4 linked regions of the Rattus norvegicus genome follow. The protein of the gene in region 1 interacts with the protein of each later gene in a biochemical or structural test. Links are inferred from orthologs where the notes say so. Each region holds a gene or a part of one and is shown on either strand. Other genes may lie near its edges.

Region 1 (7,929 bases):
AACATTCTAAAAGAGCTGTGTCAGTTCTCTAAGGAATTCTTGGGATTTCTGACCAGGAAATCCTGTTAGAAAAAATTCTGGGGAGCTGGAGAGATGGCTCAGAGGTTAAGAGCTCCGACTGCTCTTCCAGAGGACCTGAGTTCAATTCCCAGCAACCACATGGTGGCTCACAACCATCTGTAAATAGGATCCAATGCCCTCTTCTGGTGCGTCTGAAGACAGATAGTGTGTACTCAAATAAATAAAAATAATAAAAAAATTAAAAAAAAATTCTGAACGAGTTATGAAATTTTCTAAAAGAGCTGCGTTCTCTCTCCATGAATTTTCTAACTAAAATTAGAGATCCTGTTTAAAACAAACAAAAAACAAACTTAGAGAGCTGTGTTCATTCTCCAGAGATCTCCAGACAGACCATCTCTGGGTTGAAAAGAAATTTTTCTAAAAAGAACTGTTATCAACTTTGTGCTAGCTGATATCATACAGACCAAAAGGCCAGTTTTTTATTTACATATCAATTCAGTTATTTATTCTGGGTTCCCTCTTGACCATCCCAGGAATAAGCATTCCACGAGGAATCAGTATCCCATGACCGTAGCCCCTTGACCCTTAGGAAGAGACAGCAAGCACAAGCACAAACAATAAGCTAGCTGGGTGGCACCAGGACCGGGAATTACGATTCCGACTATGCTGGGTCTAAATTTGCCCTATCCCAGGATGACCTTGAACTCAGGAATCTACCTGCATTTGTATCTGCCTGTCTTTGTATCTTTCTCACAAGCCGGCTCATAGTGTAGCTGCCTCTATCCCTTTAGATCTCTGAAGCTCCTTATACAAATCATATTGCATCCTTATATTTTTGCATAGTTGAGACATTATATATTTTCAAGCTCATGTATTTAGAGTTCTTTTTCACAGTCTTAAGGGCTGCCTTGAAGGTCCCAGTGTTTACCATTCTACTAAGACATTAGCCACACCTTCACCTCCCTCATGCTGTCTCTGAGTATCATGGAGTCATTGATGTCAACAGGGAGAACATTTCTCAGAGGAACTTGAAAATATGTGCATTATTATTCAAACAAGCCTGATGCCCACAGCAGCCATGGATACTCATGGAGGCTCAAACCCTGCTGACCCTGTCCCAGGGGCAGCAGCCATGTCGTTCCACCCCTACTAAAGCCATGCAGGACTCTGCAAAGACAGCAGATAAAAGCTCTCCCTACTTCTCCTCCTCACCCACAGTGAACACTGCTTTCTACAATGTTAGTGCTTTGAGAGATGAGTTAACAATGTTTGTGTTTTGGATGTGTGAGGAATGAGAGAAAAACAAACAATTCTCACTCACATAGTATAACTTGTAAGTTCAGCAAGTCTTCACGTCCAGCCTAATATCCTATAAGAGATTTTAGAGAAATTTAAACAATGTGTCATAGTCATACTCCTCTAATGCATTCTGTACATGCTGAGACACAGCTATTAATCTGTGCTGAAAATGGCCCTGTCTTTGATGGCAGGTATTTTTAAATATTTTCCTCTATTTTTCACACACCTAGAATCTTTTAGGATCCTTCAAGCAAACCAAAACCAGGTGGAAAATAGGGGGCTTTTAAACATCCTATCCCAAGACAAGTGCCTATGGGCCCAGAAATAGTTGAGATTAGGTGTTGGCTCTCATGCGAGCTTTCTATTAATAAAAGTTTGACAGTCCTAAGGCAACTACTTGGATGCCTTGGCAAGAAAAAAAAACTATGCCAACAAGAGAACTGGTAAAAGCTAGCAGAACCCATTTAGAGTCGAGTTGAGCAGCACTTGAGCAGAGACTTGCTTTGCTTGGATTTCAAAGAGTTCTCTGCCGTCAACTTCACGGTCCCCATGCCTCTCCTGGGGCACTGGGTGTCTGAGGCCAGAAACCGACAGCAACCGAAGGGAAGGGGCAAGCTCAAAGGAGGTCTCTTGATAAGGGGCTCACCATTGGCTGTGGACAAGACAGCCCCTGTCTCAAGAGGAACACTGGGTGTCTCAGCTCTTCCTCCTGACCCAGCTTCTTCACCTTGAGACACTTCTCCAGCAGAGTGATGTTCCAACCTCAGCATCCTCAAGCTGTAATATAAGACACATAGAGCACATATCTTACACAAACTTCCTTTCTCATTTTTTTGTTTTCTTCCTGTTTTTTTTGTTTTGTTTTGTTTTTTAACTTTTTAAGACAAGGTTCCATGTAAGCTAGGGTGACCTGAAACACACCCTGTGGCCGAGTATGATCTTGAATACTTGACCCTCCTGCCGCCAGCCTCCTGAGTTTCAGGGGGGTGGGGGGTGGCCACATGTGTGCATCACCATGCCTGGTTTATACAGTGCTGAGGACCAAACCTAGTGCTCCACGTATGTTGTTGTAAAAATATAAAAAATTAAAAAGGTATGGTTTCTTTTACCCCGTTAAGTCCAGCACCACAGTGCCCCAAGATATCTGCTAAATATCTTGTCAGAAACACATCCCAACTCCACGGCGACCCAGTGTCTCCTGCCACCGCACACTTTCCTATGCTCAAACTGTCACATAAAAGAACACACAACACAATAATCTTTGACCCAATTGGTAAGATATAACTGCCCACCTAAACACACAAAGCCCAGTACCATCCATCCCTTAAGAACATTGATAACAACCTGTAATGGTACAGAGTGGAATCTTAACGTCGCCCACCATATTGTCCTGCCACAGCTTCTCTCTCTCCCTCTCCTCTCCTCTCCTTTCCGTTCCAGTCTCCTCCTCTTCCTTCAAACTTCTCTCCCATCCTTCCTTCCGTCTCCTCCAATGACAGGCCTCTTTCTATCCTGTACCTGCCCCTCACCTGTATTCTACAAATTCAATGGGGAGAAGGTTCTGGTGAAGTCACCTGAGTCCTGAGTTCGAGACTAAGCAGCTGTCCTTGGGGCAGTGGAATTAGCATCAAAATACAGATCACTCCAGGGCAAACCACGCGAATGCTAAGCAAGCACTCGACCAGCTGAGCCCTCTGAGTACCACTAAGGAACATATTCTCTATTAAAAGTAGTATAAGGTCCCCACTCCTGTTGATAAATTTTGTTGAGCCAAGTAACATAGAATAAATATGTAAAAAAATAAATAGATATGAAAATAAATAGATACATGTGTTATATACCATTACTAAATTTTTAATATGAATTCAAAATCATGAGTTTATTATCGTTATATTTTTTAAATGAAGAATCAGCAGTCCATAAAACATGTACGATTTGTGTCTAAATGCATGGCGGGAAAGAAGAGAAACGCAGATGTGCAAATGGGATTTGTTCCATCTCTCCAGAGTGTCCCACTCAGGAGTCGCCTCCCCTGCTGTCTGGTTGTTTGCTCTGGTTCAGTCTCTCTACCCTTGTTGCTCAGGGTTGTTTCCTACAAGAGTTGTTTCTGGAATGACACATTGGCATTGTGAACAAGGGGTGTTTGTTACAAACCCACATGGTCTGTGTCCTTTGTCCCCACAGGAGGATGTATGCACATGAAGTGTCCTCAGCCCCAGTGCAAGCTGGAGTGGTGTTGGAACTGCGGCTGTGAGTGGAACCGAGCCTGCATGGGTGATCACTGGTTTGACGTGTAGAGAGGGATGTCACTTGGCAATGGCCGCACGACCTCATGGGAAACACCTCAGACTCCTACCTTTGTTAGCCATTTCTTCTTCTCTGTGCATATAAGCGCGCGCACGCACACACACACACACACACACACACACACACACACACACACACACACACACACTCACACACACACACACTGCAGATTACAGAAGCAGTCTCTAGGTCCTTTCCAGGGTACCCACAGAAAACTGCAGCACCTGCTGGCCCCAACGGGAGGAGGCACTTTGAGCCTCTGACTCATGCATATGTCAGAGCTGGGATGAGAGTTGGCACCCTTGTTTTGAATTCTCATCCTAGCGAGAATTTGGGTTCTCATGGCCGGGAGTTTTCCAGACTTAACCTCCTGCCTTCTGCTTCACTAAATCCATGTAGAAGCCACGGGTGAGGTGGGAAGTGCTTTCCAAGGCTGTTGCCACGCCCTGAGTGAGTTATACTTCTGTGGATTCTCAGACGCACACTGGAGATCTGAGGAATGCTGTTCTTACGTAGCAATCATCTATTCCCAGAGGGCCCTCGGCACTAGCCAAAAATATTTGTTTATTCCCCCAAATCCTATCATTGTAAATGGTGCTGATGAGATTACAAGCCCACTGTATACTAATCAGCTTATCAGCCAAGTGAGAGCCTAGGAAAGTTAATTGGAACACAGACTGTTTAAATCACAGGGAGGGCACAGTAGCCAGACCTACTTCCATTCGTTTAATTATCTACAACTTTAGAAAGAAATGATTTATTTCCCTGAAAATAGTACAAAGTTTGAAGTATTCCTATTGCAGCCTGGAAGTTGAACTCATGCCTCTGGCTTCACCGTGAACTTAGCAGGAAAAGTGCCTGTCAAGGGGGCATTTTTAGAGACAATCCCATGATGCTGTTCTAACAGGGTCAAGCAACAGATGTTTAGCAACAGGGTCAAGAAACAGAATGTTTACAAAAGGAACATTTCTAGACCATCTACATGAGAACATGCCTGACCCCTCCGCCAGAAGTGGGGACACCTCTGCATATCTGCTCCCTCCTTAGCTGTTAAGCCCCAGGGAGCCCCATGCACCCAGTGTGCACCCAGTGGTCTTACAGATGGCCAGTTGCACAGGTCAATAAACACACACTGGAATAGCCTTTGGATAAATATACATCACACTCGAATGTTAATCTTTCAAGGTTTTCTTTTCTTTTTCCTGTTTTTTTTTTAATTTGTTTTGCTTTTGCATTTTTTGGGTGTCGAGGGGCTACCAGACCTGAGTCCTGGCGCTAAAAATCATACAGAAATGGTGGGATTGGTATCTTGTTGTGTGAGGAAAGGCCAGCTGGCCTAAGTTCACACTTGTGGTCCAGTGGCCCAAGATTCATCCCAGCCAGATCCTAAATGAATGTCATACATGTAGCCAAAAAAAAAAAATCTGTCATGTAGCACTCAGGAATCTGATGTCACCCATCACTACTTCTTTTGCCTGCCTCTGCCTCCTGCCACACCCATATGCCGTACTGGCATGGGGAAGCCAGGACAATGTTTGCTGTTCTGTTTTGGGTAAAGGGACTCACTGAAGCTCCATGGCTCTCTGGTATGGTCCCTTTTCCTTTCTTGAGATTGCATATGTTTTCTTCAGAATACAACAGTGATTCTTAAAATAACTCAAATGAAAGACACCCATAGTGTGCGAGCATGAATCACAGCCTGCACTGTGTGAGCATGAATAGTGGGATAAAAAGTGGATGTCAAAAGAGTGGAAATCAAACCTCTGAAAAGCTCTTTCTCTCTGTGAAATGTGTTAAGAAATACCTGAAGTCTGTGTCTGTGGTGGTACCCAGACTGTCAATCAATAAGTACCCAGACTGTCAATCAATAAGTACCCAGACTGTCAATAAAAGAATCCGAAGAGTGTTTGAGTCTATCCTTGGGGATGCATTTCTGATAAATTTTGGAGATGTGGGAGGGAACTTTGGCCACATTCCTCTGTGACCTCTCATATGTTTTTATAGAAGGAGCATGTCTAGACCACCTCAAAGAGAACTTGGAAACATCGCCCACTGGGGGGAATGGCCTCTTTTCTATCCATGATTAACTTTGGGGTTCTGTTCTCTTAACTATCAAAGTTTCAAATCAAGCTCTCATTCTGAAACCTAACAGTTACTTTCTTGCCTTGCTCACAGACTTGCCCAGATAAGTGTTGACAAAAGAAACTGGAGATGGAGAGTCTGGAGAGATGACCAGGAGGTTAAGAGCACTTACTGCTTTTGCAGAGGACCTGAGTTCAGCTCCCAAGCACCCAGCCAGTAGCTTGCAACTACCCATAACTCCCATTCAAGGGAATCTGATTCCCTCTTCTGATCTCCACAGGCTCCTTCAGGCACATGGTGCACATATATGTACTTGGGCAGGTGGGTTCAGGAGCGCACATGTGCGTGTGTGCACGCATGCGCGCGCGCACACACACACACACACACATGCATACATGATAGGTAGATAGATAGATAGACAGACAGACATATAGATATTTTGAAGAAATACAGGAAGAAGTTTGGATGCAGGGAGATGGCCTAATCCAGTAATGTGGTCACAATAAGAGTATAAGGACAGGGACTGGAGAGATGGCTCAGTGGTTACGAGCACTGACTGCTCTTCCAGAGGTCCTGAGCTCAAATCCCAGCAACCACATGGTAGCTCACAACTATCTGTAATAAGATCTGTTGCCCTCTTCTGGTGTGTCTGAAGACAGCGACCATGTACTTATATATAATAAAAAAATTTTTTTAAAAAAAGAGAGTCTTCTAGAACCCCCCCCCCAAAAAGAGACAGACATCTTAATACACACCTTCAATCCTGGCACTGTGAGACAGAGATGGGGGATCCCGGGGCTCACTGACCAGCATCACTGACTTGATGAACACCAGGTTCCGTGAGAGACCGTGCCTCAAAAACAAAACAACAAAAAAGAAAAGAGAGAGACGGGTAGACAGGCAAATAGACAGACAGACAGAGTGAGCTTAGAGTACAATAGAAAACTCATCATCAACCTCTGGCCTCCTCATGCATGTGCATCCACGCATCGTGCACATCAAAACTAACGCATCAAGATTGTGTTGTGGTGACCTCATGCTGCTCTGTGTGTTTACTGGGCACATTTCCTCGTTGTTGTTGGCAAAAGCAACTTAAGGAAGGAAGCATTCATTTTGGTTCACTGTTCGAAGAGTGATGGCTGTGGGATGATGTCATCATGCAGGAATAGGCAGGTACAAGATAGAACGAGGCCTGTCATTGGACAAGAAGGAAGGATGGGTAGGGGGAAAAAGTTTGAGGGAAGACAAGAAGACAGGAATGGAAAGGTCAAGGGAGGAGAAGAAGGCGAAGAAGCCACCTAGAGAGAACATGGAGGCTGATGTTAAGATTCCACACTGTATCTTTACAGGTTGTTATGACTGTTCTTAAGGGATGGATGTGTACAGGGCTTGGTATGTTTAGGTGGGCAAGTATATCTTACCAATTGGATCAGAGGTTATTGTGTTGTGTGTTCTTTCTTGTGTTGAATTAGAGTATGTGGTGGCTGGGACACTAAGCCACCACGGAATTGGGATGCGTGCTTCTGGCAAGATATCTTCCAGATATCTTGGGGCACTGCAGTACTGGACCTAGCGGGGTAAAAGACAGCCCCAAATTTCATTTTACAACAACAGATGGTTGACAATGATGACAGTCAACTGTACAGGACTTAGTACCACCTAGGCTCGTCCCTGTCAGTACGATTCTAGATCGGGTTAAGGGAGAAGAGGCACCTAATTGTGGGCAGAACCTTCCGTGGCCAGAGAAAGTGAGCTGAATTCTTGGTTCTGAATTTCAAATGCAAGAATGACTCAGATGACACTTTAGAAGAGATGCTTTGTAGTATCAAGTTACTTAGTGAAGTTTATACCTAAGTTGTTCTTTTATTATAAAAATAATTGTTGTGTTTTTGTGTTCGTCATATTTAATTCTTTTTCATCTTATTTTTACTTAGTGCCAGGCCAATGACAGGGTTCAGTGGTTAGAGGTGCTTGCCACCAAACCTGATAACCTGAATTCAATCCCAAGAACCCACATGGTGAAAGAAGAGAACTGACTCCCAAAAGTTATCCCGTGACCTCCACACATACACCATGGGACACATACACAAAATTAATTTTTGAAATGCAAGTTACTTATTCGATGAGAATGCCCCCAGATTTCATCATGATGTCCCTATATCACATGTGAGGATCGACCCATGATTCTTTTTAAACATCTAGATCCAATGTAACTATCTA
Region 2 (7,771 bases), on another chromosome or scaffold:
GCCCTCCCACCCACAACGGGCCCTCCCACCTTTGATCACTAATTCAGAAAATGCCTTACAGCTGGATCTTATGGAGGCATTTTCTCAATAAAAGAAAAGTTGGCGAGATTTATATTTTCGAAAAGACACTGCCAATGCCATGAACTGGACATATTAAGGTGGAATCAATTCATAGTTCTGGGGACGGGACTACACAAGAGTCCATATGGTTTGAACTTAGCAGTGGCAATATAACAAGGGGAGAGGGTGTGGGAGACAGATACACAGTATATAGACTGAAGGGAAGAACAAAGTGTAACAGTTACAGGAAGGGAATCACAAGTGAGTCTCCAGCTTTAGTGCTATCACCTAAATTGTGTCATCTCCAAAGTTTACAGGTTGAAAGGTGTATTAATATTAAGAGGATATGAATGTGTCCTGGTCATAAGAGTAGAGCTTTCCTCTAGAAGAGAACCACATGCTCTTAACCATGGAGTCATCTTTCCAACCCTTTGGTTACCTTTTAAATAAGTGTGTCCTTATAAAGGAGGCTGAAGGGAGCTTGTCCTCTTCACGCTTCTGCCACATGAAGACATGCAAAAGGCACAGTAATAATAATAATAAAAAAGCCTCCCAAGACATTGGTCTGCTCTAGCCTTCACCTTGGACACCCTAGTCTCCATAAATGAGCAGTAAATCTCTGATAGTAATTTACCCAGTGCAGACATTTATAGCAGCCCAGCTTCATTTACTCACTTGAACAATTATATCTTTAAAAAAAAACACTAGAAAACATAGTTTTCATTTTCTTATTAGGAGGCTGTATTTTCCTGGTTAAGCCACAATTCCTTAAGCACATGGGCTATTCCCATGTTGTGTGACACTGTTCCTGGGGAACTGTGAACAAACATCTACTCAGAGAACTGATAACAGGCCAAAGTAAGGATACCATTAAAGTCCAATTTGGTGAACCAATTGAGTCTTATTGAGATTACTTACAGGAACAGAAATGACACCAAAACCCACTCCAGCATGACAACAGCCCACAAAAGCTGGAAACATGGATCACACTACACAACTTGCAGGTAGCTCTTCAGGGTGGAGTGTCCCTTACAGGTAGCTTGGCTGGTCTCTGCTTCTTCTAGGCAACTCTGCTTGTTGGAGAGTGTCTCTCAATAGTCCTACTGTTTATATATGCTTGGGGAAGGAGGAGCCTAGTGAATCTTGTCGGTTTCAGGGACTTCCAGAAGTCTCATACTTGTTTACTTTCTGAGCTTAAGATGCCCTTCTGTAAGACTGACTGTTTTTCCTGTCCTTAGAATATTCTATGATCTCACTAGCTTCGTTACAAGGTGGACTTCATCTCCCTTTAGAATATTCTGTGTGGTAAGGAGTTTCCCTCCAATATGGACAGTTCTATTTCTTGTTTTATCCCCAGAGGAAATTGCATACAAAATATTCAACAATATGGCACCCCTTTGATTAGCTAGCTGGTCTTTACTGGCAGTCTTCAGTTTCTTGCCTCTCACTTCCTTTGTTTTCTTGAACTTGTCTCACAAAAATGATCTCAACATAAAACTGAGCGGTCTCATGAGTCTTTATGCCCCTGGACTTCCTGGCAGCATGTAACACTGGCTGGGCCTTGCAGTTCAGTATGTTCATTAGCATTTGCACCCTTCTTGCCTACTGCTCTATCTTCAGGGCTTAGTTCTTGATCCTCTTTTCAATCTCTTGCTTTTCTCTAAGATTATGTTCAGTCTTGATGATTTTAGTTACCTTGTGTTTTACATTTTTTCTTTATATTTTATGTGTATAAGTGCTTGCCTGCCTGCATGTATGTGTGTCACCGTACCTACTAGGTATGTTGCAGAAGCATCAGATCCCCTGAATCTGGAGATACCAAATTCTGTGAGCCTCTATGTGGGTTCTGAGAATCAAACCCAGGTCCTCTACAAGAGAAGTGGCAAATGCTCTTAACCTCATAGCCAGTTACCTTCTAAATTGCAATGAATCTCACCTCACAGCTCAAAACAGCTTCTGTAAACTCCAGGCCAGACATCTATTACTCACAAAAGTACCTTATGTTGCACAGACATTTAAACTCATTATTCCCCAAATTAAACCCTTGTCTTCCCTTCCCAAGACCCTGCTCATTCTGCACAGTATTTCTGGTTGGAGTATTACTCCTTCTTTAGGTGGTACCTACAGCAGACACCCACAAATCTTTCCTAACAATAACCCCTTTCACCCCAGTTCCTCACCAAAGTCTTCTGAGTCTGCTTCCTGAAACTTCAAATTGGTCTCTCTCCATTCTCAAATCACTACTGGAGTTCTGACCACCATTGTCTCCTCATTTCTCCCAAAATGCCTTTCAAGTATTCTGTTCCCCAGTGATCTTCTAAAATTCTAATTTGACCCCATGTCTCTAGTTTTGAAAATCTGTAACCTCCTGTAGGTTTTTTGTTTGTTTTGTTTTGTTTTTGGTTGGGAGGTGGCGGGCAGGATCGTCCTAGAAACCCTGGTTACAGGCTGCCACAGTCCAACACAACATACTCCTCCTACCTTCAGGTGCAAGGATTAGGAGAATGAGTCTTTGTACCCAGTTTCTTTGCTGACTTTGAAGAACCTAAAATGGTTCCACCACACAAGATCCGCGCCCAAATAACACTTAATCTTTGTCAATCCCTCCCCCACCCCCGGCGCGAGCCACTCAACATTTTACTGGACTTTTCACTTCCCCATCGACGCTTCCTCCTTCAGATATTGTACATTTATCCTGGGACCTGATACTCATTCCGACAGGCAACTGTGTTGGACACTGTGCTATTCTAATTTCTTAGTGCCTACATTTCTTCATTTGTATAATAATATTACAACATACACACACATCAAAAATGCCGCATTAAATCGCACTTAGAAGTGGACTATTATAAGTCAGCCCTAACTAAATACTAGCTATAGTTTTCACACAAATACTAGGTATTGGGAGAATGCCTTTTTTGGAATGAGGTTTTCAGTGGGAGAGGAGGTATTACACGTAGTTGAGCAGAAAGTACCAAAAAAGGTGGAAATGGAGAAAAAAAAAAGAACCTAAAACCTGGCTGCGAGGATTCTCATCTAGAACCCTAGAATCACAACATTGTCTAGCGTAGAGAAGTTCCTCCGCACAGCAGGCGGCGCCGCAGCATCACACACGCGGCGGGAGGACCAGCGCCGCCCAGGTCACGTGTCCCGTGCTCCCCGGCTCGCGTGCCGCGTGACGTGCGCCCGCAGTAGTGATTGGGTGGCGGGAGGCACGTGGGTAGGGCGGGGCGGGCCGGGGCGGAGGGGTGGGGCCGGGGGCGGAGCTGCTGGAGGGGGCTGCTCCGCGCCGGGGCCGTTGGCTCCAGACAAATAAACATGGAGTCCATCTTCCACGAGAAAGTGAGTGTGGGCGTTCGGTGGGGAGCCGTCCGCGGCTCGGCGGCGGGCGTGGGGAGCAGCGTCGCCGCTTCAGGAACTCAGGCGGGGCCCGAGCGCCCCCATCCCGACTTGGCTGGGTGAGGGGTGCTTCCTGCCTTCCCCCCATGGCACCGTTCATGAAGCCTCCCGCATGCGTCTCCGGCACCCTCACCCTAAAAGACCGGGCGGGTAACCTGGGCATTTCGGGGGGCTTCATCCGGAGGATTAGCGCGGGCGTTTCTTGTTCACTTGCCACGCCTTTTCGGGTTTCTTCTATCTTCTCTCCTGTGGTCTAGTCTAGCGAGACGCCTTTCCACACCTGACGGACCCTTCCCAACTCCACCCACTCCCCCTGACCTATCCTCTGGCAGAACCAACTTTCTCTCTCAACTCAGTTCTATGATGGAATGTCCCATGCATTTAGATCTTGGTGATCTATCCCACGTCCTTCTGCAGTTGTGACCGTGGCTCTCCCATTGAAGGGCCTGACACTTGGGAAGTAAAGTAGGAAATCCCGGAGGGAAGTCGTCATAAGAGTTTTTATTACGGGATGTTTGGGCTGCTCTCCCATTTTTCCGGACCAGGAGGCCAGCTTTGTTTTTAGGTATTATGGATAGATTAGAATCTTTCTACTGTGTGATTTGGCTAGTCTCTTCCTCACCTTAATTCCTAAGTGACTACGCTTTACAGTATTGTGACATCTCGAGAAACTGGTCTATGCTCGCATACAATTATCAAGTCATTTGGGTGTTCCTCGGACAACTTTGGCATGATTCCGTGTTTCATAATCATTTTAGGTTTGGAGAGGGTTGCTAGTTGAGACTATTATTACAGTTGGAGCAAAGGCCTTTGTTTTTATCATTTGTAAAGGAGCATTCATTCACAACGTTTAAAGTCCATGCACGACAAAAGAAAGACAAAAATGCTGTAAATCTAAGGAAGTTGTTAAATGAAAGTGTTCTTAAGAAGACCTTTCATAGTGTTTTTGGAACTGGAACAAGTTAGTTTGTGACAAGATTTCTTGTAGCCCAAGCTGGCCCCAAACTCTCCATCCTACTGTCTCTGCCTCCTGAGTGCTGGCTGGGATTATGACCATGTGCCCTGACTCTGAGTGCGCCACCCCCTCCCCCACTCTTTTGTAATTTTCCAAAGGCTTTGGGATAAAGTCCATTTTAAACATGTTATACTCTTTGGGATAAAATCCATTTTAAACATGTTATACTTTATACACTGTTTTGTGAGACTCCTGCCATGTATTCTTAAAAGAAAAATGCATGTGCTTGTGTGGAGGTCAAGGATGACTTGATAAAGTCTGTCCTCTCTTTCCAACTTGGTGTGGATTCCAGGTGTCTGAGGCTTTGGCAGCAAGCTCCTTTACTCTCTGGGTCATCTTTAGGGTGAATGAAGGAAGAAATGGAAAGGACATGACTTCTAGGTATGGTGAAGGAGAAAGTTTATTAAAGAGATGTGGGAGAGCATAGCCTGGGGCAGACACATTTGGGAGACCCCAGAGTTGTCATGACCCTGAACCACATGGGGAGAGGGAAAGGAAATACAGCAGCCAGGAGCCAAAGGTGCAGAAGTATACCAAAGAGGTTGGGTTACCAAAATACATGAATTACATAGGCAAGGACCACTAGGGGAAGGGCAGCTAGGCCATGGTCTGGAGAGTTCAGGGTAGAGAGTAGGTATACCAGCTATACCCTGGTATAAGTAGGGACTAAGGGATGCTGGGAGAACCTGGAGTTCAGGTCCGCTTTGATATGTTAAATAGGTACCTCTGCCACCTACCATCCTGGGATTGAAGCTCAGCATAGGGCTCTTAAACAATACACTAAAAAATATGTATTTTTTTGCTGGCAGGGGTGGTAGGCCTTTAACCTCACACTTGGAAGGTAGAGGCAGGGGAATCTCTAGTGAGTTCAAGGCCAGCCTAGTCTACAGAGAGAGTTTTAGAACAGCCAGCTCTATACAGAGAAACTGTCATGGAAAACAAACAAAAAAATTGTATTGGTGTTTACTGTTGTGTATGTCTGTGCACTGTGTGTCTGTTGCCCACTAAAGCCAGAAGATTCCCTGGAACTGGAGTAACAGGCTTGTGAGTAGCTGTGTGGGTGTTAGGAGTTGAACCGAGGTCATCTGGAAAGCCAGCCTGTACTCTTAACTGCTGAGCCACCTCTCCATCTCCCTCAATACCTTCTTTTTTTTTTTTTTTCTTTTTCTTTTTCTTTTTTCTTTTTTTTTTTGGAGCTGGGGACCGAACCAGGGCCATGCACTTGCTAGGCAAGCACTCTACCACTGAGCTAAATCCCCAACCCCCCTCAATACCTTCTTGACAATATTGATTGTTCCTCATTTGAGCAGATTTCAGTGAAGGTAACTACTGAATCAGTATATCCAAAATGCTAGGCTAACAAAGACTTACTCAGGCCAAGGATATGCCTCACCTGAATAGTGCTTGCTGTGTAAGCATGAAAACCAGAGTTCAGATCCCAGTGTGTGTTTGTATCCCCAGTACTTGAGGCAGGGAACCGAGCCAGGTGGGTTTCTGGTTGCTGACCAGCCAGTCTAGCTGAAATCAGTGAGTTCTAGGCTCAGTGAAAGACTATCTCACAAAATAAGGTGGAGCGCAACTGAGGAAGGCATTTGACTTGGACCTTTGGCACACGTATGTATATCTGTGTGTACACATAGACATGAGAACACATATACAAACACGCATGTGCAGATACATACATCTGCTTACCCAGAAGTCATTCATATCAGCAGGTGTATATACTTCATAAATACTTGAGAAATACCTTTACTTCTGTGTGTGTGTGTGTATGTATGTATGTATGTATGTATGTATGTATGTATGTGTATGGAGATGCACATGTCCATATGCATTTAGAGGCAGGAGGACAACCTTGGTGGTGTTACTTATAAGTAGGCTAACTTATGACCTCCATGTATCTGCCCATTTTCACCTCTCTAGCACTGTAGTTACAAATGGGTACCACTATGCATGACTTTTTAAATGAGGTCTGGGGATTAAACTCAGATCCTAAGGCTAGCATGGCAAGTACCTTTCTGACTGAGGCATCTCCCCAATCCTGGAGAGTACATCTGCCTTTATCATCAACTGAAATATTTGTAGCAAGTGAATGCTTAATGAAGTCGGAACATATTTCAAGAGAATGCTCCTGTAACTGGGTTATTAATCATGGAAGAGGCCATACTGGGAATATTTAGCACAACTGCTATTTTCCAGAGACTTCTTTTCCCTTCCATAATTTGCCTTTAACCAGGAAGTTAACTAGAGAAGACATCAACCACTTCCTCTTGGAATTAATTTTACTTAACCCCTTTGAGTACTATTAAGTTAGAGTAAAAAAGCAGTTATCAGCCAGGCGTGGTAACACATGCCTTTAATTCTAGCACTTAGGAGGCAGAGGCAAGCAGGCTTGCCCTTTGTGATTTTGTAGACAAGCTTGGAAGAGTGGAAGTGTAGTATGTTCATCTTCTGAGCCCAACATGGTAAAATACCGACTCCCAAATCGTAGCATGAATTAAGCATGAGTTTTATCTATCCCCAATAACACATGAACTGGGAACAATGAGATCAGTTTTTTTTAAGATGTAATTATTTTTATGTGTATGAGTGACTTCATGAATCAAAATGCACTGTGCACATACAGTGCCTGAGAAAGCCAGGAGAGGGTACCAGGTCCTTTAGGACTGCAATCATTAGCAGGTCGTTAATGCAGGAACCAAACCCAGGTCGTTTGTAAGAATATCAAGTGTTCTTAACTCCTGAGCCATTTCTCCAGCCTCCAAATCCCAATTTTTTTAAAAGATTTATTTTATGTATGTGAGTACACTGTAGCTGTCTTCAGACACACCAGAAGAGGGCATCAGATCTTATTACAGATGGTTGTGAGCCACCATGTGGTTGCTGGGAATTGCACTCAGGACCTCTGGAAGAGCAGTCAGTGCTCTTAACCGCTGAGCCATCTCTCCAGCCCTAAATCCCAATTTTTAATAGCAAGAATGTTCTTTCAAAAAGTTGATGCCACTATTTCTGTATGTTAAATATGGTGACCAGGAGCTAGAGATGGCTCAGTGATTGTGAGCACTGACTGCTGCTCTTCAGCGGACCCAGGGTCCGAGCACTCACCTGCTGCATCCTGTACCTTCACTGTCTTTGCTTGGTGGTGGTAGTATTGGGGATTGAACCCAGGTCCTTGTACAGAGTAGCTGCACCCTTAGCTCTGGAGTCTATCTACTCTTTTGAGTCTTGTGTGTTTTTTACTTTTTAACAGTATTTGAGAGATTCATCCATATCGTTACAGTTACTTGTACTTAATTT
Region 3 (7,606 bases), on another chromosome or scaffold:
GTCCAGGGACAGCATCTCCTTCTTAACCTGACCGGAAGGCCTCGTGTTTGGGGGTCCTGGGTGAGGCTTTAGTTACGAAAGACCAGGAACGGGGAGAGGGGAAGGGGTCTACCACCCTGAGGAATCCACAGGGGCCTCTGCTTACTCCTCTCCATGCTCATGCACCTTTGTGTCTCTTTCCTGAACCCAAATTTATCCTCGCTAGTCTTTGGCAGAGGCTTTTCCAAGACCTGGAACTTCCAAGGCTCCCCATCTGAGTCATCCTTAGGAACTCAGCACTAGCCCTCCAATCCTCGGGTACAGCCAGGCTTGTGGCCTTCCAAAGGACTAGCCTGATCCCCACCCCCGTGAAAGTGCCAGGCTACTGTGAAACTGGCCTGGGTAACCTGTGAACATCCAAAGGAGGGTTGTGAAACCAGAGTGCTGCGGAAGTGAGTGACCGAGGGGGATGTCCTGTGTGCCTCGAGCTAGGCCCCGTTTGAAGATAGGGGAAAAGGCCAGATTCTGACACCAGAAGGCTTTGGCAAGCCTCCCTGGGGATGCACGTTCACACCTAGCATTAGACCCCAGAGTACTAGACCAGAGCAGTACTAGATCAGGCAGAGCAAAAGCAGCTGGCTGATGGGATGAGCTGGAGAAGTCAGTCTCCCGGCAGGGACAGGCCCCGCCCAAGACTGATGAGGCTTGCCGGGAGGGGCTCTCCCAGGAGCCTTCCTAGAGAACCGCCTCCCCATCCTCAGTAAGCCAGACAAAGCCGATGGGGACACAGCTGCCTGGCTATTGTGTGAGGGAGGGGGCCAGAGGCTGGGAAGGCAGGGACCTAGGCTTCTCCTGGGCCCTGAAGGTCTTCCACATCACCTGGCCTGGGTCCTTGCTTAACATCATCCACGTTCTCCTGTCTGTTGCTGCTAGAATGGAGACCCCTCCCCTTCCTTCAGGCCTGCATCTGCCCATCCTCAGGCCAGTCAGGAGCCAGCCTTACACCACCCCTTATCCCCAGGCCAGAAGGAAGAGAACACTGGGTCAGGGCAGGTGGAGGGAGCCCCAGGAAAGCGCTAGAGTTCTGGTGTCCAAGCTGGGACCCTGTGGGCCTGGGGGAGCAGCTCATAATACCTTGGTTCCCAATATGGCTGCACAGAGCTGGGCTTAGCCAGGCCTCTTTCTGACGCTAAATGGGGGAGGGGATTAGAGCAGCAGTCTGTGTAGAAGAAGGTGTCTGTTTGTCTGCCCTTTGCATCCGTACCTCTTCTTGGGCAGTGATTAGGGCTTGGTTGCTTGTGCTTCAGAGCCTAGTCATAATTCTAAGGATTGAAAGCTTCAATGGTCTCATTCTCGGGTAGAGGTGGGTAGAGCTGCGTATGGCTTCATATCCCTGAGGAATATTTGTAGAGCCTCCAGGACTAGAAAAAGGGAGTGCAAGGCCCCTCCATTAGGGCTTCCCCAGGGACTAGACAGGCTATGGTGGCCTGCTTGGGTGATACTCAGACAGGCTGTTTGACTGGGACTTCCCCTAAACATGTGCCTTTCCAATGAACAAGTTGAAAGGTAGTCTAAGACCTACAGGGTCTGTTCAGCACCAGGGCTTGACCCAGCTGAGGCCCCTGTGTGGTCTTCCAGAGGTGCCCTACCTAGGCTGGAGATACCAACCTGTCCAGGTGGATGCTGGGCTGACAGCTGTGCTTAGAGTGATTGGGTTAGGGGTGGTGGGTTGCAACCCAGTCTAAAGACTTCTGTTAGGTTAGGCAGGTCAGACAGAAACCAGCAAGAACTGGGAGGCTTCTTCTCAGCCCTGGGAAGAATGGCTCTCCTGTTGTAACTGTGGGGCTCAGGCTCCTCCCCAGGTGTTAGTCGCCCTCAGGGGGACCCCCTAGCAAGACCCAGGGTGGAGGCCCCTCCAAGAAGCCAAGAAGGTGAGGCTTCATGGAGGAAGGGTGGTACCTGCATAGGGGAGGGAGGCCTTCTGGTCCTTTGCCCAGTCTGCACAGTGACTTGTCTAGTTTCTTGCACCCAGGGGCTGGAGCTCTGATTCTGGTGGGGTTGGAAGTGAGGAGTAAGGAAAAGTTTGGTGGCTCACAGCCAATGGCTTCCCAATTCATCAGAACCCTGTGGTTCCTTAAACATCTGGTACCTAAAGTGATGGCATGCTGTGGGCAGAAGTTTTGCCTAGCTGTGGGCTGGCCAGAGCTTCCAAGCTCTGAAGGAGGCCAGTCATCTGAACTCTGGCCACTGCATCCTTCACACCCTTTTGTTTGTTTTTAGAGATAAAGTCTCTTTTTGTTTTTTCCTTTTTTTTTTCCTTTTCCTCCCCCCTCCCCTCCCCCCGGAGCTGGGGACGGAACCCAGGGCCTTGTGCTTGCTAGGCAAGTGCTCTACCACTGAGCTAAATCCCCAACCCCATAAAGTCTCACTATGTAGCTAGCCCTGGCTGTCCTGGACCTTGCTACATAGACCATGCTGGCCTAAAACTCAGAGACATCCGCCTGCCTCTGCGTCTCAAGTTCTGGGATTATAGACCTGAGCCGCTCTGCTTGTTCCCCGGGTCCATGGCAAGGCTTAGTAAGGGAGGTGCACTCTGTCCTTAGCGCTTTAGAAGATACCAATAGGGAAAGAAGTCCCCCAATCACCAGTGCAAGCGCCCGTGGAGGGTGCGGTGTAGGAAAGAGTGAGCCCCAAGGAGCAGGGAGGGGTGTGTCTGTCGGCAGTTTGGTCACCAAGGCACGGTTCAGGTTTTCGGGTGAAGTGCTCGGAGAGCGAGGTGTTGGGTGTTGACTGGGGCCGCTTCCCCCGCGGCTGTGCGTGAGTCCGGAGCGTTCCTTAGCGCCCTCTGGTGGGCAGTAGCGGCGCGGCGTCCCGGAGGCAGTTCCGCGACCGCAGACACCTCGCCGGCCGCCTACGGACGGTCCGGACGCGGCCTCGGGTGCCACGGCTGCGCTCCGGATCCACGCGGCGCCCCCTCCCTCGCGCCTCTGCCGGGCCCTGCCCATGGCAGCCGTTTTCTCGAGGCTCCGCCTGCGGCCCAATTTCCAGGCGACCGTTTCCCGGCGACGACGGGCGGGGCGGTCCCCTCCGCTGCTGCCGTGGGCCCACGAAGCCCCGCCTCGGGCTCGCACTGGAGCGCCTGCTGAGCCTCGACGCGGCCACGGCTCGCGGCTCCCGGGCAAAGGCAAGGGAATGGCTCGCAAGACTTCTGAGGTCAGCGGCCTACCGGGTGGGCGACGCTCCCCCTCCGGGCTTCAGTTCTCGCGTCTTCAAAACCTGAGGCAGAAGAGGGCTTAAGAGCAAATTTACCCAGCGCGAGTCGCTCGAGATCGCTGGCCTCGACTGGCCTGACCCTGGTGTAGGGTCGGAACGAGGCCGTCAGGGTCTGCGGGGTCGCCGCGATGGACTCACTGGCAGCACCCCAGGACCGCCTGGTGGAGCAGCTGCTGTCGCCGCGCACCCAGGCCCAGAGGCGGCTCAAGGTGTGTGTGTCTGTGTGTGTGCGTGGAAAGAGAGGGTGGAATCTGGGTCATGTGTGCAGTCTTGCTTGGCCAAGACCCTCTGGCTACTGCTGTAGGTGGCAGGGGCTCCTGGGGCAGATGTCCACTAGGGATAAGTGCAGGCAGCGCAGACCCTTTGGTGTGGGAGGCTCAGTACCGCAGTCTATAAATAGCCCTCGCTCCGATGCTGCTTCAGGAACCACCACCCCCAGGCTTGGATCTGGGCCAGACAAGCCACCCACCCTTGGGTATTCCGGGGATGAGTTTGTGCTGAGGTCTGGCTATTTCCACCGATAGAGGTCCTTGAATGTGTCTGAGAGGTCTCAGTGGGTCCCAACACCCACCTCAGGGGATGCCCTGTGGGGCTGACATTATTCCTCATTCCCCACCCAAGTCTTGGGTTTCTGCTGAGGGTGGGGTGGGGGGGCCTTTCCCTGCCACTTCCTCCACTACCTTCCGGCCTCTGCCCTTCAGCCCTCACCCCATTTTTTTTGTTGTTGTTGATGAAATGCCCCTAGCTAGGGGCTATGTTTTCTGCTCCTCTGAGCAACATAAAAGATAAGGCTTCCACTGAAGATCTAGGATATGCCACTGATCTGCCCCAACCACCCCCGCCCTCAGGACATCGACAAGCAGTACGTTGGCTTCGCTACACTGCCCAACCAGGTGCACCGCAAGTCAGTCAAGAAGGGTTTCGACTTCACACTCATGGTAGCCGGTGAGTGGCCAAACTTCTAGGTAGAGCCCATGAGGCCGTGGGTCAGACCATCTCAGCCCCAATCTAATCCAGCTCTATCACTGTTCCTATGGCCAGGTGAGTCCGGCCTGGGGAAGTCTACCCTTGTCCACAGTCTCTTCCTGACTGACCTGTACAAGGACCGGAAACTGCTGAGTGCTGAGGGTGAGTAGTCTTCATATAGCCCTCACCAATCTGCTCCCTCCGAGGGAAGGGTCCCCATTGGTGGTGAGGAGGAGTGGCCCAGAACACACAGTCAGACAGAGACTGAGGCCGGGACACCAGGGTGGGTAAGGACGAGGCTCCTTGCTGCCCAGAGAAAAAGGTGGAGCTGTCCTGCAAACACTCCCTCTCCTTCCTCTGCAGAACGCATCAACCAGACAGTAGAGATCCTGAAACACACTGTTGACATCGAGGAGAAGGGAGTCAAGCTGAAGCTCACCATCGTGGACACGCCCGGCTTTGGGGATGCAGTGAACAACTTCGAGTGGTGAGGACAGCTCTGAACAGGTCCCCCTGCCCCGACTGCCTGCCGCCACCTAGCCGGCAGCTGCCAGAGCCAGCTCCCTTCTCCCTCTAGCTGGAAGCCCATCACTGACTATGTAGACCAGCAGTTTGAACAGTATTTCCGTGATGAAAGCGGCCTCAACCGCAAGAACATCCAGGACAACCGGGTGCACTGCTGCCTCTACTTCATCTCCCCCTTCGGACATGGGTGTGTGGCCGTCAGGTGCCCTGGATCGGGTGGATGTTCCCACCACTGCATCACTGCCCCTCCCCCAACAGTGCCTCTCCTACCCCCTCTGCAGATTGAGGCCAGTGGACGTAGGCTTCATGAAGGCGCTGCACGAGAAGGTGAACATCGTTCCACTCATCGCCAAAGCCGACTGCCTGGTTCCCAGTGAGATCCGGAAGCTGAAGGACAGGGTGAGTCTCCTACAGCCCAAGGGGCCTGGCCAAAACCTCCAGGGGAGCGGGCCAGTGCCAAGCGAAAGCTCTCTCCTGCTGCAGATACGAGAGGAGATCGACAAGTTTGGGATCCACGTGTACCAGTTTCCAGAATGTGACTCAGATGAAGATGAAGACTTCAAGCAGCAGGACCGGGAACTGAAGGTGAGCGCGTAGCCAGGAGGCGTGGGGGGCAAGGAGGTAGCTGGGGCAGGGCATTGGAGGCCACACGGCCCTGGGGGAGGGCTGAGCACCCAGGTGCACACCATGAGAGCAGGAATCGGTACCATTCTGACCTGCTTTCCAAGAATCAGCCCAGTAGCCCAGAGATGTGTCAAGCTCTAGTACCCAAGATGGTGGCCTTGGATACCCCAGAGGCCAGAGAGGTTATGACAGAGAGCTAAGCCCGGAACTGGGGCCATTGGGCCAGAAGTAGATGGGCAAAGCCATCTACCAGTAAGCATGGTCTTGACTCTGATGGTGGAGGGAGTCCCAGGAAGCATCCAGTGTCAGAGAAGTGCACAGCCTGGCAGATGCCCCAAGGCTTTGAGCTATTTAGGCTTTGTGACTTCAGTGGGTAGCAAAGACACCAGAAGAGGGGCCATGCCATGGGAGGGGAAGGTGCCAGTGCCGGAATGGCCTGAGCCTCTGAGCCAGCTGCTCTTACAGACTAGGCTGGGCTGGGTCCTTGCTCCCTTCCCCAGGAAAGTGCTCCCTTCGCCGTTATCGGCAGCAACACTGTGGTGGAGGCCAAGGGGCAGCGGGTCCGGGGGCGACTGTACCCCTGGGGGATCGTCGAAGGTGAGACAGAGGCAGGAGGCACTGGGTGAGGGGTGGGAGGCTCCCGTAGGCTGACACCTACTCACTGCCGGCTTCTGCCCGCAGTGGAGAATCAGGCGCACTGCGATTTCGTGAAGCTACGCAACATGCTGATCCGCACGCACATGCACGACCTCAAAGACGTGACGTGCGATGTGCACTATGAGAACTACCGTGCTCACTGCATCCAGCAGATGACCAGGTGGGCCACCCTCACCAGAGCCGACTCTCCCACCCCAGCCTGGTGCCACAGAAGGCCTCCCTGTCCTGAACTTTAGTTCCAGTCCCTAAATCAGCCCAGCAGTCTTGACATTGGTAGGAGTGGGCCAGGCATCTCCCACCCTCCTAACCCGAACCTCCCAACAAGCACGGCCCTCTCGTTCCACAGCAAACTCACGCAGGACAGCCGCATGGAGAGCCCCATCCCTATCCTCCCACTGCCCACACCAGATTCGGAGACCGAGAAGCTCATCAGGATGAAGGATGAAGAGGTGGGTGGAAATCAGGAGTGGGGCCAAGACTGCCAAAGGGCGGGGAGGAGAAGCAGAGGGCAGGGCTAGACCTCGACTGTCTTTTCTCACTCTGACTTGGGTCGCCCCCACCACCAGCTGAGGCGCATGCAGGAGATGTTGCAGAAGATGAAGCAGCAAATGCAGGACCAGTGACAGCCGCCCCGGTCCACATCGCCAAGGATAGACAGCCAGTTTCCAGGCTGGCCCCTCCTACCCCTGGATCCTAGACTGTCCTGGATTCCACCCTGGGTTTATCTGGATCTCAGAAGGCCTGGACCTAACCCTAATCCAAAGTGGCTTTGACCAGACTATTCAGACCTAGAGCCACAGAGCCACAGCCCCCAGATGACCCTAATTTATTCTCAGCATCCACCCTTCCCGGTCATTTATTTGTATCTGAACCACAGTCCCTCCTCAACTCATGCCCCATCCCACCCCACACCTCCCCGCCTGTCTTAAGGGAACAAGTTGTGCATAACCTCCAAGATCTCCCTTCCAAGAAGATCGCTGCCCGCAGCGGGCCAATAAACCAGGGTAGAGGAGGGACGTGGATGCAGAATCTTGGGCCTGTTACCCAAGCTAGTGCCGCTGATGGAGTTGGGAGGCCCTGCTCTGCTGGTTACAGTGGGCTATGAAACATATGCTAATGTCCTACTGAGCGTGGAAGTAGGCCGGTTCCTCCCTTACTCCAAATCATGCTCTGTTCAGGACCAGAGCTGGCGGGCTTTGGAGGCTGAGGCCCTTAGGAAGACCCCAGACCTGAAGGCTTCTGGGAGGAAGGCGGGGCCGCGATGCGCTAGACCGCTCGCGCCCCTTCTGGGTCTACCTAAAGGACTCCAGGGGCGGCAGGAACGGGGTGTCCCCTACGTCCCCTATGACTACTTTCATCCACCCATAGGTCAAGGTCTTTTCTTCCCAGCAGCTCTGTTCCGCAGGGGTTCCAGCCCTTGGCCTCCTCCATCTCTCCACCCGCATGATTCTTCCCCACACACCCCATGCTCCGTTTTGTTCAGTTGTGAATGCCGCGTCCTGTCCTGGTGACAGGAGAACAAAGTTAGTGAACGTCGCACCGAGTGTCCGAGTGTTCCATGAGCCCATGGGAGCGGGCGGGG
Region 4 (7,593 bases), on another chromosome or scaffold:
AAAAATAAACTATAAAAGTGTATGCTCAGGTTTAAGCTCGTCCATCCAGGGCTCGTTCACACAGCACATCTGTATGTGATGTCAGGAGGATTGTGTGAAAGCACTGAGACCAGGTGTTCTGTCTGGACCAGCAGCTGCACCTGATGGTAAAGACACCCCCGAATTTCAGCCGGGCTATCTATAAACGAGCTTGATGAAGCAGCAATTTGAATTAATCTTTAGGAGAAAGAACAGAACATGTTTAAAAACCCATTCCTTCCTAGCAAAATGTCCTCTAGCTAACAGTTGTGAAGGGATCCTGATGAGGCATTCTAATGGCCTGCCTTTTCTCTCTCTGCTCTCCATGAGAAAACCAGACTATACTGTGGATTTAACTTTTGACATTGCACCTATGGCTCACCTAAATATACCTTCCTTGTTGCTTCCTGCCTCACTGCCCCGTGCCTAGGCCCGACTCAGTTTTCAAGCATTCCTCAGCAGTGGGCATCTGTACCACCCTTGTCTACCTCCAGTGTAACTGGCCGTGCTCTTGAGGATACACATCCTATGTCAAGCCACCTTGGGCAGGCTGATAAGCAGTGCCCCTGGTTCAGGAACATTCATGCTGCCCCGGCTAGGCCAAAGGGGCCTGCTAGGCTCAACCTAAATAAGGAACATTGCTCCACATACCTTGAATCGTTATTTCCCTCCTGAACAAGTCCTTCTAACTTCCGTTTAACCTCTTAAGGTAACCGGGGATATCATAGTTGGTTTTCTGGTGCCTTCTTTACCCTAAGAAACTTTTCTATACACAGTAGTCAGTGAGATACAAACATAAGCAATAGCTAATACTGTGTGCTCTGTAGCTTATAACAATTTTGCCTTCACTCTGCCTCCTCTAATAAGCCTTTCTGGGATTGAGTTTTTCTCTCCCCCCACATAAATCACTTACTAATGTCCCCATGTCTCATAAGCGCACAATCCTCTGTCAGTCACTTAAACTCTTTTAAATCTCAGGGTGATTTTGACTCTCTGCTTTCACCACCTCTATTATCAGTCACCTAATCCTAAATCCGGAGTCTCCCAGAACACGGAGCAGTGGGCACTTCTCATCTTACGTGCCCAGCGGTCCGTAAGCACTCAAGATCAACGTTTCCGTATTTCATGACTTTGTTCTCAGCAGAATGCTCCCTCTATAATAAAGTGTTCTCAAAGGTCTCATAGGTGTATTTAAAAAAACAAAACAAAACTATTTTTGTAATTCCCTCCCATCTCAGGTGTTTCCTTTCTAAACCCCTTCAAATCTGGGGTGACCTTAGAATTTGATAAGCCAGTGGCAAAATAGCTAACATGACATGATCAGGCACTCAACACTTGCTTCTGCTGTGTGGTTACTCCTTTGCTACTCCTTCCATTGTTCTCTGAATAGAGATTGGGTACTGAGTGAGGAGACCCAGGCTAGCCTGCTAAAGAGAGCTTCCTCTCCTAGTCCACCCATGCACTTGGATAATAGCCTGACAACAGCCAGACAAGTAGTCAAGGCTATCCTAGACCCAAGGTCCTCCTCTCAGCTGAGTGACGATGTCACCTACAGGAACCTTCATTGGATTAGCAGAGCCCAGTCCAAACTGCTCACCAAAAGAACCATGATCTTTAGCCCTTTTAAGCAACTACATTATAGAATGACTTAATAACAAGTCAATCGGTAACTGATAAAATGTTTACTTTCTCCAAATTCTTTCATGGTTATTATTTAGTTTTGGGGGAACTCAATTCTGACATGTCTTGTTTCATGTTCTGCAGCATTATTTAAAATTTTAGGTATCCTATTCTCTGATTTTAATTCCCGTATGAAGAGATCATGCTGTGTGTATGTTGTGGTGTGTGTGTGTGTGTGTGTGTGTGTGTGTGTGTGTGTGAGAGAGAGAGAGAGAGAGAGAGAGAGAGAGAGAGAGACTTTGTTTTCTTTATGTGCGTGCATCTCAGTGAGTGGATTCCACATGTGTGCAAGCACTGAAGCCAGAAGAGGGCCCTGGAATATTCAGTAGCTGGAGTTGGAGAAGTTGGAAGTCACCTGACAAGGGTACTCTTAACCCATAAGCCATCTCTCTGGCCCATGCAGTCTATACTTTTATATTCTACATATTCACACACACACAATAACTAAGAGTCAAGTCAGACTTTTGAATATGTTCAGCCATCAATGAGCAATTACTCTTTTGGTCCTTTAATTTTGATTCAGATCTTTTTTTTTTCCTTGAGACAAGCTGTCTTGAAAATCACTAAGGATACCAGATGACCCTTGACCTTGTAGCTGTCCTCCTGACCTCTACCTGTCACTAGGTCCAGCTTTGATCATTAATTTTAGAGGTTTAATAGAAGAATTAAGTTGCCAAGCATAAAATATGAAGTCTGTTATCTAACTAGAAAATAATGCAGTTTATAGCTAAGAGACCAAATTATGTATTCATTTCAGGGAATGTTACTCTGCAAGTGAATTTGCATATAAGTCAAAGAGCAAAAGTAAACAAGTATATACAGGTCTCTGTTTCACAGAAGCAACTATTTGATTTTCACCACATATTATTTGTCTCGGAAGACCCATAGTTCTCCTATGGGATTTGCATCTGTAACCTGAAAGCTTGCCAAAAAACAGACTTTTTCTCTAAGAGTGTCACCGATCCTCTTGTGGCTCTTCAATTAGATTTTGCATTTAAAAGAGAAAGTCCCTTGTGCTGCTTCTAATGATGCACCTGCTACTTGGGAGATTTCTTCTTTTCACAAGAAACAAGTTAAATCTGGCAAGAAACATGGCTCCAGGCTCTCTCTGATAGTATCAAAGAGCATTTGTATGTTTCAGATGTTTTCTGTGGGTTTCCCTCCTAAGCACAGTGAAGTGTCTCCAAGTCCTTCCCAAACAACAATGCTGGCGATGGTTTTGGCTTCTATTCTCTGTTTGCACTGTACACCTGCACTGAACAGCTGTTTGGACTCAGCAAAGCTGTGACGTGGCACTCAGCAATCCACGGGCTTTAGTCACTTCCTTTCAGACATGGACAAACAGAACATATCGAATTAATGAATGGAATCCCCATTTCAGATGTACTGTCCTGTAAACTCTCTTCACAAACCGCTTAGGGACAATAACAGTTACATTCAAAATGATAAAACCTCTTTATAAACCTCCCCTTTAACGGCATTACTAACATTAGTGATGTTCTATGACCCTTAAGAGAAGCACCATCATTTGCTTTCTGATTCTAGACCTGGAAACGCATGTTATTTGATTAGAGACAATACCTAGCTAATGCTCCTTTAGAAAGAGACCTCTGTGATCAGTCCCCAAATGTCACGCATTCTTCTATTAGTTGAAAGGACAGTTTAAAGGTGTCTCCCAGCATTTTGCTATGCAGGAAGTAATTTAATATCCAGTCACATCAGAATCAGACACTGCCTCCCAGGTGTGCACACATTAGCATACGGGGCCTTCCTACATCTTGCTCTCTTGACTTTTGAATTTTTCAGTATGTACAAACGAAGTACAGATTTGAACGTATTCCCAACGGAGATGTCTGCTTCATAACGAGAAAGAGGTTTTTGCCTGCTTGCAGATTCAGCGCCGAAATGATGCCTGACCATAACGTGTTTAGAGTTGACACCTCGGAGAACTGACGTCTGTGCAAATGTAATCCCCATAAACCTCCCCAGATAGTCCTTATTTCATTTTGCAAACTGTACCCTGGCAGGGCTCCACAGCACGTGGTGTGTGGCGAGACTGTGTTGCGCCGCTCTTTCTTCCTAGGGGCTCTTTGATGGACACTGTCAGTAACAACCATGAGGAGCGGCGCCCCACCTCAAGCAAGTGAAAAAAAAAAAAAGGGCACAGACAGCAATGCTGCCGTAATTAACTTTCCCAAGGAAAGCAATGTTCTCGCAGGAAAAAACAACGTTTCCACCCTCCTAGCGGCTAGTTGGAAATGAGCAACAATGCAGTTGCCTTTTTGTCTCCTGAAGACTTTCTTTGCTGCAAGCAGTAGCGTGTTCCTCAAAGAATGCTAGTATTTCCTGTGGAAACTGTATGGCTGCCAGAACTGGCTCAGAATATTTCCCCCTTTCTTTTCGTAAAAAAAAAAAATGAAATAAACAAAACGTGGCATTTGACAATAGCCAACGTTGGCTTCATCCCCACTTACCACCTGCAAAGGAAAGTCACCGCCACTGAGAGGGTCAGGAAAGAAGCCTTCCCCAGGACGTGGATAATCCCGGGACGCCGGACAGCGCCGGGAGGAGGAGCTGAAGCTGGACGGGGCAGCCTAGGCGCCGCGGGGCTGATGGGCCAGGGGCTCCCTTCGGGTAGCGACACCACCCGGCATCCCCTTCACGTTTGTTATTGTTCTGGTTACTAGTGTAGCTATCACCAAGCCTTTGCCCCTCCCTGGGAGCTCTTAGGAGCCTCGGCACAGCCCATCCCCGCCTCCGGGACGATCCGAGGTAGCAGCAAGCAGAACGCCAGCTAGCGCAAGGGCCAATGAAAAGAACCATCCCCCTGCACCAGAGCCTAGGACTGGGAGGCGGGAGTGACTTGGGTTCCCCGGGGTGAAGCTGCCTGGGTTACCACAGCGATCCCCTCTTGTGGCTCTCTGCAGCGGCACCGCGCGGCTCCGGGCAGAAGGGACCTGAGGCACAAAGGGGGCCCCCCGGGGTCCCGAGAACCCGCAGGGTGTCGCCCGGTGCAAAGTTGCACGGGCTCAGCCTCGCCTGCTCGCGTCCCTCTCTTCCCTGCGGCGTCTGCGGGAGGACCTGGACTCACCGGAGCGGGAAGGGCGGCGGGAGGGATGGACGGACAGACGGCGAGAGCGGCGGGCGCAGGAGACCCCGGCGGGCGGCGGAGGCGCTGCCGCGGCCCCGCTACGTCACAATGCGGCCCGGCGGCCGGCGCCGCACCCCGGGCCCCCCAACGGGCGCGCGCGGGCGGGGACACCCGGGGCAGCGGGACGTTGAGATCAGGGACGCGACCACCAGGCAGGACCGACAGCGACCGTCCCCTTGATCCACAGCCCAGCCCACGCCCCTCGCTAGCAGCCGCCTTCCCCCAGTATCCCGGACCAGCGAACCTGCTGCTTCTGCTTACCTCGCGCGTTCACCTCCGCCGCCTTGGCTCTTTCCCGCAGGCTCTCTTCCCTCCTCCCCTCCCACTTTTGGCCCCCTCTTCCCACTTTCTTCCCCCGCCTCCCCTCTGGCTTTGCTGCCTCTCCTCCCCCCCCCCCCACCCTCCGTCCCCCGCGCGCTCTTTCCTCCTTGGAAATGATATCTCCCCTCACCACGATCCATGAATCAACCGCTGCCACCTCATTGGTCCCCAAACCATTCCAAGGTTCCAGCATAAAACCGGGAAATGAGAAAAGGAAGGTGGACACGGTCCTGGGAAACTGTCTTGTCTGAGGAGCGTTTTGGCGAGAGTGCTATGCCTTGGCACTGCGTCTTCAACCCCCAACGTTCCCCTCTCCAAGTCTCGCCCACCCTGGAAGACTTAGCCAAGGAGTAAAGGGGCAGGGTTGGGTTTTTTGTTTTGTTTTGTTTTTGTTTATTTGTTTGTTTGTTTGTTTTTATTTTTTGTTTTTTCTTTTTTGTTTTTTTTTTGTTTGTTTTTTTAACCCAGAATGTTTTGTGCTCCTGGGTGGGTGGCGCTAGAGATTTGGGTCTGAAATGACAGTTGGTTAATTCAGCCGTGTACCCTGGACCCTGTGATGATAGTAACTTTACTCCTAGCACACCTTATGGAGGACGCACAGTAATGCCTGCAGCGGAGGGTGAGCACCTCTTTCCTATTTCTGAAACAAAATACAGGAAGAACAGAAGCACCCATAGCAACCTTGGCTCTCTGTTGCCCTCTTGGAAAGCTTTAAATAGCTTTGGACAAATTTCTGTTCCAGGATTGGGAAAGGATTTGAAGAGTGTTAAAGGAAAGCCATCGTGGGTTACATTCTTGTTCCAGGACATGGCCGCTTGCTTGAGGTTGTCCAAATGAGAGTGCGAAGGAAAGACTGAGTTCCCGTCAAATTAGGGTTCATCTTGCTCCTCTTTCAGCCAGTTCTCAAAGGTGAGAAGGGCTCTGAGATCCAGGGAAACCCAGTACTACCTAGGTGCTGGCAGTGGGATGCGTGCCAGCGTGTCACAGAAAAGACACTGCCAGTAAGAGAGAAGGGCCTGGGTGTTTTAAAGCTAGGTTTCTGTGAGTGATTAAGAGTGAAGCTGGAAGTCATTCTTAGGAGACACATATGTCTATTTTAGGATTAAAGATAATCAGAGTAATCCTTGTCCTGCACACAACTGGGTTCCTACCTCTAAGGCCTGCCATAAATGTCACCCCTAGAAATGACATCCTTGGACGTGATCAGAAGACAGCTCCATATGATTTAATCCTCTTCCCTACTCTTAGATGTCTTCCCCAGGTTTTGACTAAAGAGCGAAGCATATGATCACACAACTCTGCCATGTGTTTACTGTAACTTATCATGGCTAAGTACTGCACGGAAAGTGGCTTCACAATTTTTAAAAATACATATCCTCTGGTAGAAAATATGAAATCGGATGACATCATACGCCACTAAAAATACTTTAGAATATTGGTTTTAATTTTCTCACATCTGGTTAGAATAAAACTTCTTTTTTCCTGGTGTAAACTCTGAGGAAAGCACATCTTGCTTCGATCCAGTAGATATGGATAGAATGGGTGTTTTCTCTCTGACGTGGAGCTAGACAGAGTAGAAACGTCGATGCCTGCCTTCTTGACTTCACTGAATCCTTTGGGGGGGAAAAGATTCAGATTTGAATTTATTGAAGTCAATAAATGTTGAAAGATAGGTATCCCCCTTCTGGTTGCCCTGGACACCCTACAGTTCTTGTACTGATCCAAGTGTTTACATGATTCAGTGAGAGGCTGGATTTTGTTGTATGTACCAAAAATGGATTGCCTGGGGTGAAGAGGGTTTCCTGGCCTCAGCAACCAGCATGCAGCAGCACAAGGCAGAAATCTTTGTGATGTTTCATCAGTTATTTCCCCTATTTTATTTTTTATAGTTCTTTTGTTACTTTTTTTTCTGTTCCCAATATGTTTTTGATTACATACTTACCATTGTTTCCATGTGATTGTTTTTACGCTGTGATTTAAATCTAGGCTTGTATACACTTTCCCACATAGACCTCGTGTTTGCTTTTGTTTGGACTGTTTGCTGGTTTGCTTCTCCTCTGCAAATCCGTGCCAAATCCCGACCACAAATGGATACACCAAAGTGTGGCAGTAATGAAGTAGTTCAGTTCAAACAGCTGTTAGATTTTTAGATTGGATGGCAAGAACGACAGCTTCCTCAGCATCACGTTGACTTCTTTTTAGCCAAATGAACCAGCTAATGCCTCATCTTTCTGATTGCTCATTACCGACATCCAGTCTCTGGTAGTCCAGTTCCTAATAAAACCGCCTGTTGTGTGGAGTTCTGAAAGAGTGCCTGAGCTAGCCACAGCCAAGAGACCATTTACCTCTCTCACCATAGCCCCTACCTATGCTCGCCATGCTATCTGCTGTGCTCCTCTTAGTGACCATATTTTTGCCTCTTG

Evidence for each region.
Region 2: the proteins of Prkn (region 1) and Atxn3 form a complex in vitro, tested with the Homo sapiens proteins (4 studies listed by BioGRID and IntAct, with this or other methods). The link is inferred for Rattus norvegicus from reciprocal best matches to the Homo sapiens genes PRKN and ATXN3.
Region 3: of the proteins of Prkn (region 1) and Septin5, one has a biochemical effect on the other in vitro, tested with the Homo sapiens proteins (2 studies listed by BioGRID). The link is inferred for Rattus norvegicus from reciprocal best matches to the Homo sapiens genes PRKN and SEPTIN5.
Region 4: of the proteins of Prkn (region 1) and Sncaip, one has a biochemical effect on the other in vitro, tested with the Homo sapiens proteins (3 studies listed by BioGRID). The link is inferred for Rattus norvegicus from reciprocal best matches to the Homo sapiens genes PRKN and SNCAIP.

What each region holds. Positions count from the first base shown.
Region 1 is NC_086019.1:51,234,014-51,241,942, reverse strand, and holds the end of Prkn (E3 ubiquitin-protein ligase parkin), read left to right. Parts: intron 1-3,504; coding exon 3,505-3,617; 3' UTR 3,618-5,533; downstream 5,534-7,929. UniProt on the Homo sapiens protein: Functions within a multiprotein E3 ubiquitin ligase complex, catalyzing the covalent attachment of ubiquitin moieties onto substrate proteins. Substrates include SYT11 and VDAC1.
Region 2 is NC_086024.1:126,868,284-126,876,054, reverse strand, and holds the start of Atxn3 (ataxin-3), read left to right. Parts: upstream 1-3,273; 5' UTR 3,274-3,378; coding exon 3,379-3,402; exon of another isoform or gene 3,403-3,518; intron 3,519-3,552; exon of another isoform or gene 3,553-4,024; intron 4,025-4,051; exon of another isoform or gene 4,052-4,855; intron 4,856-7,771. UniProt on the Homo sapiens protein: Deubiquitinating enzyme involved in protein homeostasis maintenance, transcription, cytoskeleton regulation, myogenesis and degradation of misfolded chaperone substrates.
Region 3 is NC_086029.1:95,874,838-95,882,443, forward strand, and holds the start of Septin5 (septin-5), read left to right. Parts: upstream 1-3,108; 5' UTR 3,109-3,380; coding exon 3,381-3,461; intron 3,462-4,100; coding exon 4,101-4,197; intron 4,198-4,293; coding exon 4,294-4,380; intron 4,381-4,581; coding exon 4,582-4,705; intron 4,706-4,795; coding exon 4,796-4,930; intron 4,931-5,024; coding exon 5,025-5,142; intron 5,143-5,226; coding exon 5,227-5,328; intron 5,329-5,867; coding exon 5,868-5,964; intron 5,965-6,048; coding exon 6,049-6,184; intron 6,185-6,370; coding exon 6,371-6,473; intron 6,474-6,590; coding exon 6,591-6,647; 3' UTR 6,648-7,606. UniProt on the Homo sapiens protein: Filament-forming cytoskeletal GTPase. May play a role in cytokinesis. May play a role in platelet secretion.
Region 4 is NC_086036.1:48,402,378-48,409,970, reverse strand, and holds the start of Sncaip (synphilin-1), read right to left. Parts: upstream 4,499-7,593; 5' UTR 4,173-4,498; intron 1-4,172. UniProt on the Homo sapiens protein: Isoform 2 inhibits the ubiquitin ligase activity of SIAH1 and inhibits proteasomal degradation of target proteins. Isoform 2 inhibits autoubiquitination and proteasomal degradation of SIAH1, and thereby increases cellular levels of SIAH.